2 linked regions of the Schizosaccharomyces pombe genome follow. The protein of the gene in region 2 interacts with the protein of the main gene of each other region in a biochemical or structural test. Each region holds a gene or a part of one and is shown on either strand. Other genes may lie near its edges.

Region 1 (3,847 bases), on a different chromosome or scaffold from region 2:
TTTAGTTTAACCTCAGGGGAAGCGGAAACCGACAACTGTCCGCAGAACCGTTATTGGCTCGTTTGTTCCAAACTCTAGCAGTGCGAAAGTGAAATTTTTACAGTATGCAGGCAGGTCCTTCTTGCAAGACACTATAAAGTAAAAGTTTTTTAAACAATTCGACATTCCGGCGAATGTGAAAATGTAACTGTGTGAAATGTTGACTATACAAGTGCATTAAGCAAAAGATCTCATCGTAATTTTCGATCTTCAATTTATCAAACTTTCAACCGTTTTTAAACCGTATGACCTTTTAATACGTAAACAGTTTCTCATTTTTTTTATGTTTTACTGCATTAATCACACACAATAAGATTTTATTTCCATTTCATTCAAGTTGCCAAGTTATTTCTATTTAGTATATTAACAACTAAAACACAACTGGCTGGCTATGCAAGTAATTATTATTCTCTAACATAGAGATTCTTATTTTTTTTGGTACACAAGTTTATGAGTCGTTAAAACCTTTTTAAATCGTGCAACATTGATTCATCTCAGTATACTCGATTATCCCTGTGTTCGATATCCCGCAGCTGTAGCCGATACTGAATGTTAACAGTCCACAGTCTATTTATAGCTAGCTCTCTGATATCGGACAACAGGCAATACCGCTTCATTGACCTCTCGTGACAAGCGGCTTTTTTATAAAGGATGTATTGATATCTTTGAAGAAGAAGAAAATCGGCAAGTTTTTCATTTTACTTTAAACATTTGAATTTGGTTTTGCTATTCTTGCTTTTCCTTCTACAATACTTTTCCATATGGGGTAATAGTGTGACCGATCAACATTGCGTTATTTAATATTCAGATTTCAACGGAATAAAATAAAACCTCAATTTAAATTAATGTAGTTTTGATATACATCTTTAATAAGTAATATAGTAAGATACAGAAATCACCTTAACCATTTCTAGGGCACTATGTTGGCCTACCTTTCCTCCTATTAATTAACATAATGTTATTAATTTACAATCATCAAATAAATCGAAAACCCACTTTTTATGCTATAGGAAAGGGTTTGTAGTTCATTTACTTCGTTGGGGAATTTGCTTCTTTTACTTTTGTGTGATAAAACTCGATAGACTAAATATATGGATTCATCATGATTGTTCAAGGTTGAGAAAAATGTTAATTGTATGAAACGAAATAAACCCACATGATGTTTGTTCATCCTCAATTAGTAAACATTCACCTTTATTGAGCTTCTTTCTCTTTTCGTCAAGTTTACCTCTTTGTTTACATTTAAAAAAAGATGTTCTTCAAACACTTTATTGTTGTAGGTAACAACAGCTAGTCATGTTAGGAACCACGACTTTCTCATATACAACGTATTCTTACTTGTTGATCTGCTGCATCCAACTCCTTTGCTTATTCGAACCTTCTAAACCTGGTTCCATTCCATGAAATTGATTCCCCTTAACCTTGCATAGCACACCTTTGAAGTTCCTTACTCTTTACATATGCTGCTTGTGTAAATTAGTCAATAACATTTAAAGAACTGATTTTATTGAAAAAACAACAAAAGCGTTATTATATTTATTCCTCTTTTTTTTAAACAGGTGTTTTGGGGCCGTTCATAGGTTTTTTGGGAAATCATATAAATATATATATATATATATATATATTTTTTTCCGCACATTTACTTGCAATACTCGCTCGTTTTAGTAATTGCATGAATCGTAGACAACTCTTCACTCTCCATTGTTGTGAAATTTTTCGTGGAGCATCTCGATTTAATATCCTGACTACTCCTTTGGTAAGTGTTTAACTTACCTAACTGTATATATTTACAAAATAATCATGGTTGAAGTCAGACATTCAATTCCTTGTGAAGAAACTAAACGCTTGGAGCTTAGTTTAAGTCAGCAAACGTATAGTCAACAGTACGCCAGCATCTATTTCGCCCGACTTACCGCTCTTCGACCCAGAATCACAGAAGCCGCTTCAAAAAAATGGCCGGATAAACAGCGATTGGAACGCGTTTTAGATGTTAAGTCAGATGAAGACTGTTGGGTTGTCGCTACCGCTTATATGACTACAGCTCTTAAGCCAAACGTTATGAACGATGTCACACAACTTCATACAATTGTCACCACTACTGAAGAATCTCCGTATGTTAGCCCAGAAGATGCTGCTTCAGGTGATATAGAATATGCTCTTGAGGATGACTATGGCCGTATAGATTGTAGCGGAAGCTTTTTGTATGACGCTGGCGTTGTTACAGGAGTTGTTCTTGCAGTTTTGGGCCATGAAGATGAACAAGGTCGTTTCGTTGTCGTTGACGTTTGTTTTCCAGGCATCTTCTCTCATTCCATTCCAATGACTACAGATGAATCGCAAGCTCAACCAGAGTACATTGCGGCAGTCAGTGGCTTAGGTCTCTCAAATGACGGCATAGAAGGCATTCAAGTTCATCAGCTTGTAGATTTCCTAAGAGGAACACTTCCACATGTCTCTTCCTTTTCCCCTTCCTCCATCAAAAGGCTAATTATTCTCGGAAATTGCTTAGCACCTTCTATAGAAATTGCCGACTCCGCTTCTGCGTCCGTGCCCATTGGCAAGAAAAAAGTAAAAAGATATGGCTATGACACGTCTGCTTACAATCCAAATCCCACCTTCCAACTAGATAATTTTCTTGATCAAGTGTGTTCCAGCATAGATGTCACTTTAATGCCTGGTCCTTATGATTACAGTTCAACTATCCTTCCTCAACAGCCTTTGCATCCCGCTTTACTTACTAAATCAAAAGTTTGGTTGGGATCTTCTTTACAAACAGTTACGAATCCCACTTGGCTTTCTCTTGGCAATCATTTTGTGTTGGCTACTAGCGGCCAAAACATTAATGATCTCCGAAAATATCATCCCAAAAAATCTTCACTTCAATGCATGGAAAACACTTTACTATGGAATCATATCACACCTACCAGCCCTGATACCTTATGTAAGTAATCTGTACATTTTTCAAACGATATATTTGCTAATGATTTTAGGGTGCTATCCTTTCACCGACAAAGATACATTTGTAATGGAGGAAATGCCTGATCTATATCTTTGTGGTAATCAACCGAAATTTGGCTGCAAAACAGTCATTAATGAGGGAAACAGAATACAATTGGTTTCCGTTCCCGAATTTCGTAAGACTGGTGTACTTGTTCTCATAAATATGCATACGCTCAACGTAGAAATTATTCAATTCCGCCCCATGTCAGTCAAAGCAGAGACTCCAATTACTTCTTAATGCAAAATATCTTGAATATTTAATCATGTATTTATTAAATAAATAAGTTTTTTCTTACTGTTGTCATCATAATTATCTGATCTACACGTCTCATTGAGTTCTTTTGTCAAACAAATGAGAATTATTACCACTGTGGAACGTGAACTCCGTAGGTTCAAAAACGTTAGTTGCATTCTGTAGGGAGCGCTGGTTTTTAGGAATTCCTAATTGGTCTAATAACTCAGTCGACTTGGTTGGCATTATAGGTTGTAGGAGAATTCCGCTAATGCGTAGGCTGTGAGCTACTAACATTAAAGTGTCAATCTTTTCTTGAGAATCATCTGATAATTTCCAAGGTTCTTTCAATTGAAAAAGCTTAGTGACTCTTCTTAAAACAGACTGAACAAGATTAATAACCTCGTAAACACACCCACCATCTATGCTTTGCGCGCAAACAACAGGAAGTTCTATAAGTTCGTGTACAATATCTTCGTATTCTGTAAAATCATCCTTTTTATGCCATTGCTTCTGTATTTCATTGGAAATGAACAGTTTCTTCGATTGCAATCGAGAAAGTAGCACACCTAAAGA
Region 2 (7,535 bases):
GGAGCACTCAAACGATTTTTCTACAATGCCTACAATGATTGCTTCCATTGCTGTGGCTTTCCAAACTTTATTTGAAAATGTTTGTGATTTTCTTAAAGTACGTGCTGCTCTCGTCGATGAGATGCAGGAATTAGCAACAAAAGAGTTTGAAAACAAGTTTTCAAATGCAAACACAGCAAAAGATGACGAACCGGCTCGTCAAACTAACAAAGGTACTACTAGAATTTCTAGAAGTTCTGATTTTACCGCTGTTAGCGAGATGAGCAAGGATACCTTAACACTTGGCAGAAACTCTTTGCAATCAATTTTGATGCTGGATAATTTGTTAACCAATAAAGTTGTGCAAAGCGATAACAATGTTAAAGGTGGAACTTTACCGGCCCTCGTGCATTACCTTGTCCAGAACGTTCACTTGAACAAAGATTTTCGCCATTCGTTTCTTTTGACTTATAAAACGTTCACTACCCCCCAGGAATTGTTTACGCTTCTTGTCATTCTGTTTCACGAGTTACCGCCACCAGGATTAGATGCTACAGCATATAGTTCTTGGGAAAAGGGAGATAATTTTGTTACCAAGAAGAACGTCTGCACCGTTATGAATTTGTGGGTTCAAAAATACTTTTTTGAAGATTTAAAAGCCCGTAACACTCTTTATTTGATTTCGGAGATGCGTACCTTTTTACGTGACCATGTTGTTCCATCTTTTCATATTGGCAGTGTAATTTTATCGGAAATTGACAATCTCTGGACTGAAGAGCCTCCAGATTCGTTAACCCAACGCCTATTATCTTCTCCCATGGCTACTTTTATTTCTTTAAACGTATATGCTTATACTCCTGAAGAATTTGCTTCCCAGATGACATTATTGGAGTTTGATTATCTAAAGCAGATTCCTTCGAGGGAATGGATATTTAGAAGCTGGGTTAGTCGCGATTCTCGCAGCGCTGTCCGAAATTATATAAACTTTTCGAATTGTTTCACCTATTGGATAATCAATTGTATTTTAGAGAAAAAGAATACCAAAGCTCGTACAGCAGTAATATCCTTTTTTATACAAACTGCCTACAAGTGCTTGTCCCTCCAAAACTTTTCCACTCTAATGTCTATTGTTTCTGCCTTAAATTCTGCTCCTATTTATCGTTTACATGCAGCGTACAAACTTGTTAAAGCTGAAGACATAATATGTCTGTCTGGTTTACGTGAAATCGTGGAAACAAAGAAAAATTTCAGTACTTATCGTGCTTTACTTCGCAAGGCTGAACTTCCTTGCGTACCGTTTTTGGGTGTCATATTAAGTGACTTGACTTTTATCGATGAAGGTAACCCCGATGTTCTTGATTCATCTCCACATCTGTTAAGTTTTAATAAGCGGCATCGACTTGCCGATGTCGTCGCAGATGTGTGCCGATTCCAATCCTCCTCTTACGAAATGCAATCTAATACTGATCTTCAAAGCTATATTTTACATCGGTGTCGCTTTGTTAACCAAGATCTGTCCTATTTATTTGATAAATCACTCTCACTTGAACCTCGTTCTTCTTAAATCTTATTTTTTACCCCTCTCTTAAAATCCCGTTTTGGTTTTAGCCCGTATAGGGTTCGCTCTTTTAGTTGTCTTTCAGACACAGCTTTTAATCTATCTCTTTACGTATTTACTGTTAATGTTATCGTATTGGTTTAACTGACATGACCTTGATGTTGTATTATTCATTAGGCGTTGGTAAACAAAGTCTCAGAATAAATTATCGGAATTGTCGGTTTGTAGGCTGATGACTCTGCTCAGTTTTCTTAATTCCTATTGCTTGGAATCTAGTTCTTTTTGTTTTTGGACAATTGCGTCCTTTTTATTACTAATATCTTCCATTAATAATAAATTAGTCTTTTGTTATGCCCAAGAATACATTAAGTAGTGGTTTATGTAGCTTGATGGAGATTGGTATAAACTTGTATATTTGATTTCTTTCTCCATCGTAATTTGACAGCTAACCTATTTAATGTGGTTTTACCTTTTCAGCAGTTGACACTCATACCAAAATTTATTGGTGTACGCTTTGAACTTACCTACAAGATATTCGCCTAAGTACCTATTTGTTGTTACCTACAAAACCCTTTTAGTTGCTCGTCTTCCTACCAAAAACCAAGAGCATGTAAGCTTGGTGTCTTCCTTATTTACCATTTTCTGTTCTAATTTTCATAATAAATAAAAAATTAATTACTAGAATGACAGATAGGTCTTCAAATGAGGGCGTCGTGTTAAATAAAGAAAACTATCCATTTCCCCGAAGAAATGGTTCAATTCATGGCGAAATTACAGATGTCAAACGGCGACGTTTAAGCGAAAGAAATGGATATGGTGATAAAAAGGGCTCATCCTCAAAAGAAAAAACTTCATCTTTTGAGGATGAGCTGGCTGAATACGCTTCACAATTGGACCAAGATGAAATAAAATGTAAGGTTTTTTGGATAGCTAACCATTTATTAGTATACTGACTCCTTGATAGCTTCAAAAGATCAGCAGTGGCAACGACCAGCTTTACCTGCAATAAATCCTGAGAAGGATGATATTTATTTTCAGCAAATCGATAGTGAGGAGTTCACAGAAGGATCTGTACCTTCAATTCGTTTGTTTGGTGTTACTGACAATGGAAACAGCATCCTTGTTCATGTTGTGGGATTCCTTCCGTACTTTTATGTTAAAGCCCCGGTTGGATTTCGACCTGAGATGCTAGAACGTTTCACACAAGATTTAGATGCTACTTGTAATGGGGGTGTGATCGATCATTGCATTATAGAGATGAAGGAAAATTTATATGGATTTCAGGGAAATGAAAAATCTCCATTCATTAAAATCTTTACTACTAACCCTCGTATATTATCTCGAGCACGAAATGTATTTGAAAGAGGAGAATTCAACTTCGAAGAGCTTTTCCCTGTTGGTGTCGGTGTCACTACTTTTGAGAGCAATACGCAATATCTTCTTAGATTCATGATTGACTGTGATGTTGTTGGTATGAATTGGATTCATCTTCCTGCTTCAAAATATCAATTTCGTTACCAGAATCGAGTTTCTAATTGTCAAATTGAAGCTTGGATTAATTACAAAGACTTGATCAGTCTTCCAGCTGAAGGCCAGTGGTCTAAAATGGCCCCACTGAGGATCATGAGCTTTGATATTGAATGCGCAGGTCGCAAAGGCGTTTTTCCTGATCCCTCTATTGACCCTGTAATTCAAATTGCAAGTATAGTAACGCAGTATGGAGACTCCACTCCTTTTGTTCGTAATGTCTTTTGTGTTGATACATGCTCACAAATCGTTGGAACACAAGTATATGAATTTCAAAATCAGGCTGAAATGCTTTCAAGTTGGTCAAAATTTGTTCGTGATGTTGACCCAGATGTTTTAATTGGGTACAACATCTGCAACTTTGATATCCCTTACCTCTTGGATCGAGCAAAAAGCTTACGCATTCACAATTTCCCATTACTTGGCCGTATTCATAATTTTTTTTCTGTCGCAAAGGAAACCACGTTTTCAAGTAAAGCATATGGTACTCGTGAAAGCAAAACCACTAGTATTCCTGGGCGTTTGCAGCTTGATATGTTACAAGTAATGCAGCGTGATTTTAAGCTTCGATCTTACTCTTTAAATGCAGTCTGCTCTCAGTTTCTAGGCGAGCAAAAAGAAGATGTACACTATTCTATCATCACTGACTTGCAAAATGGCACTGCCGATTCTAGAAGACGTTTAGCTATTTATTGTCTGAAAGATGCATATTTACCCCAACGCTTAATGGACAAATTAATGTGTTTTGTTAACTATACTGAAATGGCAAGAGTAACAGGTGTACCGTTTAATTTTCTTCTTGCTAGAGGCCAACAGATTAAAGTTATTTCTCAATTGTTTCGCAAAGCTCTTCAACATGACCTAGTTGTTCCAAATATACGTGTAAATGGAACAGATGAGCAATATGAAGGTGCTACAGTCATTGAACCGATTAAAGGATACTATGATACCCCTATTGCAACACTGGATTTTAGTTCACTTTATCCTTCGATTATGCAAGCCCATAATTTATGCTATACGACATTACTTGACTCAAATACTGCAGAATTATTAAAACTTAAGCAAGATGTTGACTACTCAGTGACTCCGAACGGAGATTATTTCGTTAAACCACATGTTCGTAAAGGACTACTCCCTATTATCTTAGCTGATTTACTTAATGCACGTAAGAAAGCAAAAGCAGATCTAAAAAAGGAAACGGACCCATTCAAAAAGGCTGTTTTGGATGGTAGACAGCTAGCTTTAAAAGTAAGTGCTAATTCAGTATATGGATTTACTGGTGCTACCAACGGACGTTTGCCGTGTTTAGCAATTTCTTCTTCTGTTACCTCTTATGGTCGACAAATGATTGAAAAAACCAAGGATGTTGTAGAAAAGAGATACAGAATTGAGAATGGATACTCTCACGATGCAGTTGTAATCTATGGTGACACTGATTCTGTTATGGTTAAGTTTGGCGTTAAAACGTTACCTGAAGCCATGAAATTAGGAGAGGAAGCAGCTAATTATGTTTCAGACCAGTTTCCGAATCCTATTAAACTGGAGTTTGAGAAAGTGTACTTTCCATATCTTTTAATTTCCAAAAAACGTTATGCAGGATTATTTTGGACTCGTACAGATACTTATGATAAAATGGACTCTAAAGGAATAGAAACTGTCAGAAGAGATAACTGTCCTCTAGTATCTTATGTGATTGACACAGCTTTGAGAAAAATGTTAATTGATCAGGATGTAGAGGGTGCACAGTTGTTTACAAAAAAAGTTATTTCCGATTTGTTACAAAACAAAATTGATATGTCACAACTTGTAATCACAAAGGCATTATCAAAAACTGATTATGCTGCCAAAATGGCACACGTTGAATTGGCTGAGCGAATGCGTAAACGAGATGCTGGCTCCGCCCCAGCCATAGGAGATCGCGTTGCATACGTTATTATTAAAGGTGCACAAGGTGATCAATTTTATATGAGGTCGGAGGACCCTATATATGTATTGGAAAATAACATTCCTATTGATGCAAAATATTATTTGGAAAATCAACTCTCCAAACCTTTGCTTAGAATTTTTGAGCCTATTCTTGGTGAAAAAGCTAGCTCTTTACTTCATGGTGACCATACTCGGACGATTTCCATGGCAGCCCCCAGTGTTGGAGGAATAATGAAATTCGCAGTAAAGGTTGAGACCTGTCTTGGATGCAAAGCTCCCATAAAAAAAGGTAAAACTGCTTTATGTGAGAATTGTCTAAATAGATCGGCGGAACTGTATCAACGTCAGGTTGCTCAAGTGAATGATTTAGAAGTTCGTTTTGCTCGCTTATGGACTCAATGTCAGCGATGCCAAGGAAGTATGCATCAAGACGTCATTTGTACCAGTAGAGACTGCCCCATATTTTATATGCGAATTGCAGAACACAAGAAACTTCAGCAATCTGTTGACTTACTGAAAAGATTTGATGAAATGTCCTGGTGAAAAAGATGGATGTTTTTAATTACTAAATGTGTATATCAAACGTAATGATGAAAAGTTATAATAAAAATTCTACTTTTCTTAAGTACTTTTGCAATGCGAAAACTAAACGAGTTTGCCAAAGCTATACCTTTATGTTTGCTTTTTTTTAATTCAGGACAATATGATAAGTAAATTGAATCATCATAATGGAAGGCATGTCGAATGAGAGGCGAAGACTCCCAGATAAACAAGAAAGGTAATTTTACTGACAAAGCACACTTGCCAGCAATAACCTGGAATAAAAGTAAACAGTGACGTCCAAATAAATGATCAAAAAATGCTTTTTTCAGAAGATTCATAAATTGCTGCACTGTTGGAGGAAATAGTTGCTCCATAAATGGGTATGTAATCTTTTTGTAAAGAAGGATGCTTGAATTTTGGTCTTTTAAGAAGCAATGAGAAGCAGCATTGTTTTTAGATTGATGAAATACTGCGATTTGGGTGCAGAAACCGTAAGTAGATGATGGGCGAAAATGTAACAAATCGTCACCATCTATTAGATCATTTAGCAAACCACAGCCCGTAAATTCAACAGTATACTCTGGGTATCTTTTACAAATTTTATAAGCCCATTTAGCAAACTCTTTTCGATCCCATTCAAAAACGTGTTCAGGATGTCTAAAATTGGTAGAAGTACGAGATGATATACTACTTGTCAAGGTTGATAGTTTCTCAAAGATTGTGTTAAATTCAAAATTCGGAGTTGACACTACGCAAACATTGGGCTTCAAGTTTCCAAAAACAAGTTTTTCAAAGGCTAAAATCTCTGCAACTTGACAATGCTCAATAAACTCTGAAGCTACAACCGCATCAACATGTTTATAATGAGTAAAATCTTTAATATTACCAAGCAATAATTCAATATGTAGCGGTCGCCAACGTAGTTGTAAAAAGTCTTCGGTTCTAACCTGTAAAGCCTCAGTAGCTCTTTCAATACTTTGTTCGTTAATATCAATACCGGCCAGAAATTCTATAGGCACTTGATCATTGCAAGGTACTAAATATGATAGAAAACGAGCATCTCCACATCCAATGTCTAACAAAGATCGCACAGGGAAGCCTCCTTGAAGTATTTTAAATAATTTCCTTCGACGCTGTACATGCAAAGGTGGGTAAAAGCTAGAGACACCCATTGTCTAAACTCAAAGTATTTTTGGTACACTTTCTTCACGTTAGTCAAATAACTACCTATTAACTGTGAATGTTCGTTTCAAAACCACTATTTAAGCCTTTTCAAATTCATTACGAAGCGAATTGTTATTAATTCTTTGCTAAGTCCATTGCAATATGATTTCGATGACTGCCGTTAAGACACCGAACCAAATTTAATTGAAAAGGGAATTGTTGACTAGTGCGAAGTGTCATTTTCAACGTTAAATAATAAAATTATCTTAGCTCCGAATCTATACTTTTCAATTTCCTCTTTAAAATTGTTATAATAGCATGATATTTAATTACAATAAAATATGTAGCATTATGCAAAACGAGAACAAAAAAAGCACATACAACCAGCGAAGAGTAGACGAAAATTATACGGCAAATTTCAAAAGAATGTACCTATATCCATTTTTTACAGCGCTCATCATAGATGACCATTTACTCAGAAGCTCCTCGCCGAGCAAGCATATCGGCTTGTTGATTACCGTAATCGGTACTGTGTCCTTTCACGTACTCTAGCGAAACATTTCTGTCACTCATCAAATCTGAAGCGCGGTTGATCAAATCCAAATTTTTTACAGGTTGTGAATTGCTAGTCTTAAAGTCATTTTTCTTCCATTTAGGCAGCCATGTGGTTAGTGACTTAATGGAATAATTGCTGTCAGAGCGGATGGTCAAATCGCCAGATGTATTTTCAAGGGCTAGGATTATGGCTTGCAATTCCGCACGATTGTTGGTTTGCTCTTCCCCAGCCAACGGTACTGAAATATTTCTTGGGTCATCATTTCCGAAAAAAACTCCACAG

Evidence for each region. The genes of interacting proteins can lie anywhere in the genome.
Region 1: the proteins of cdc6 (region 2) and cdc1 form a complex in vitro, tested with the Schizosaccharomyces pombe proteins (3 studies listed by BioGRID).

Annotation. Positions count from the first base shown.
Region 1 is NC_003424.3:4,013,211-4,017,057, forward strand, and holds cdc1 (DNA polymerase delta small subunit Cdc1), read left to right. Parts: upstream 1-1,839; coding exon 1,840-2,980; exon of another isoform or gene 2,981-3,029; coding exon 3,030-3,277; 3' UTR 3,278-3,347; downstream 3,348-3,847. Other genes in the region: msm1 (methionine--tRNA (Met) ligase), read right to left, coding at 3,368-3,847.
Region 2 is NC_003423.3:2,741,623-2,749,157, forward strand, and holds cdc6 (DNA polymerase delta catalytic subunit Cdc6), read left to right. Parts: upstream 1-2,139; 5' UTR 2,140-2,220; coding exon 2,221-2,449; intron 2,450-2,501; coding exon 2,502-5,533; 3' UTR 5,534-5,568; coding exon of another isoform or gene 5,569-6,705; 3' UTR 6,706-6,974; downstream 6,975-7,535. Other genes in the region: Ras guanine nucleotide exchange factor efc25, read left to right, coding at 1-1,543; hen1 (S-adenosylmethionine-dependent methyltransferase), read right to left, coding at 5,569-6,705; ribonuclease H Rnh1, read right to left, coding at 7,169-7,535. UniProt on the Schizosaccharomyces pombe protein: Catalytic component of DNA polymerase delta (DNA polymerase III) which participates in chromosomal DNA replication.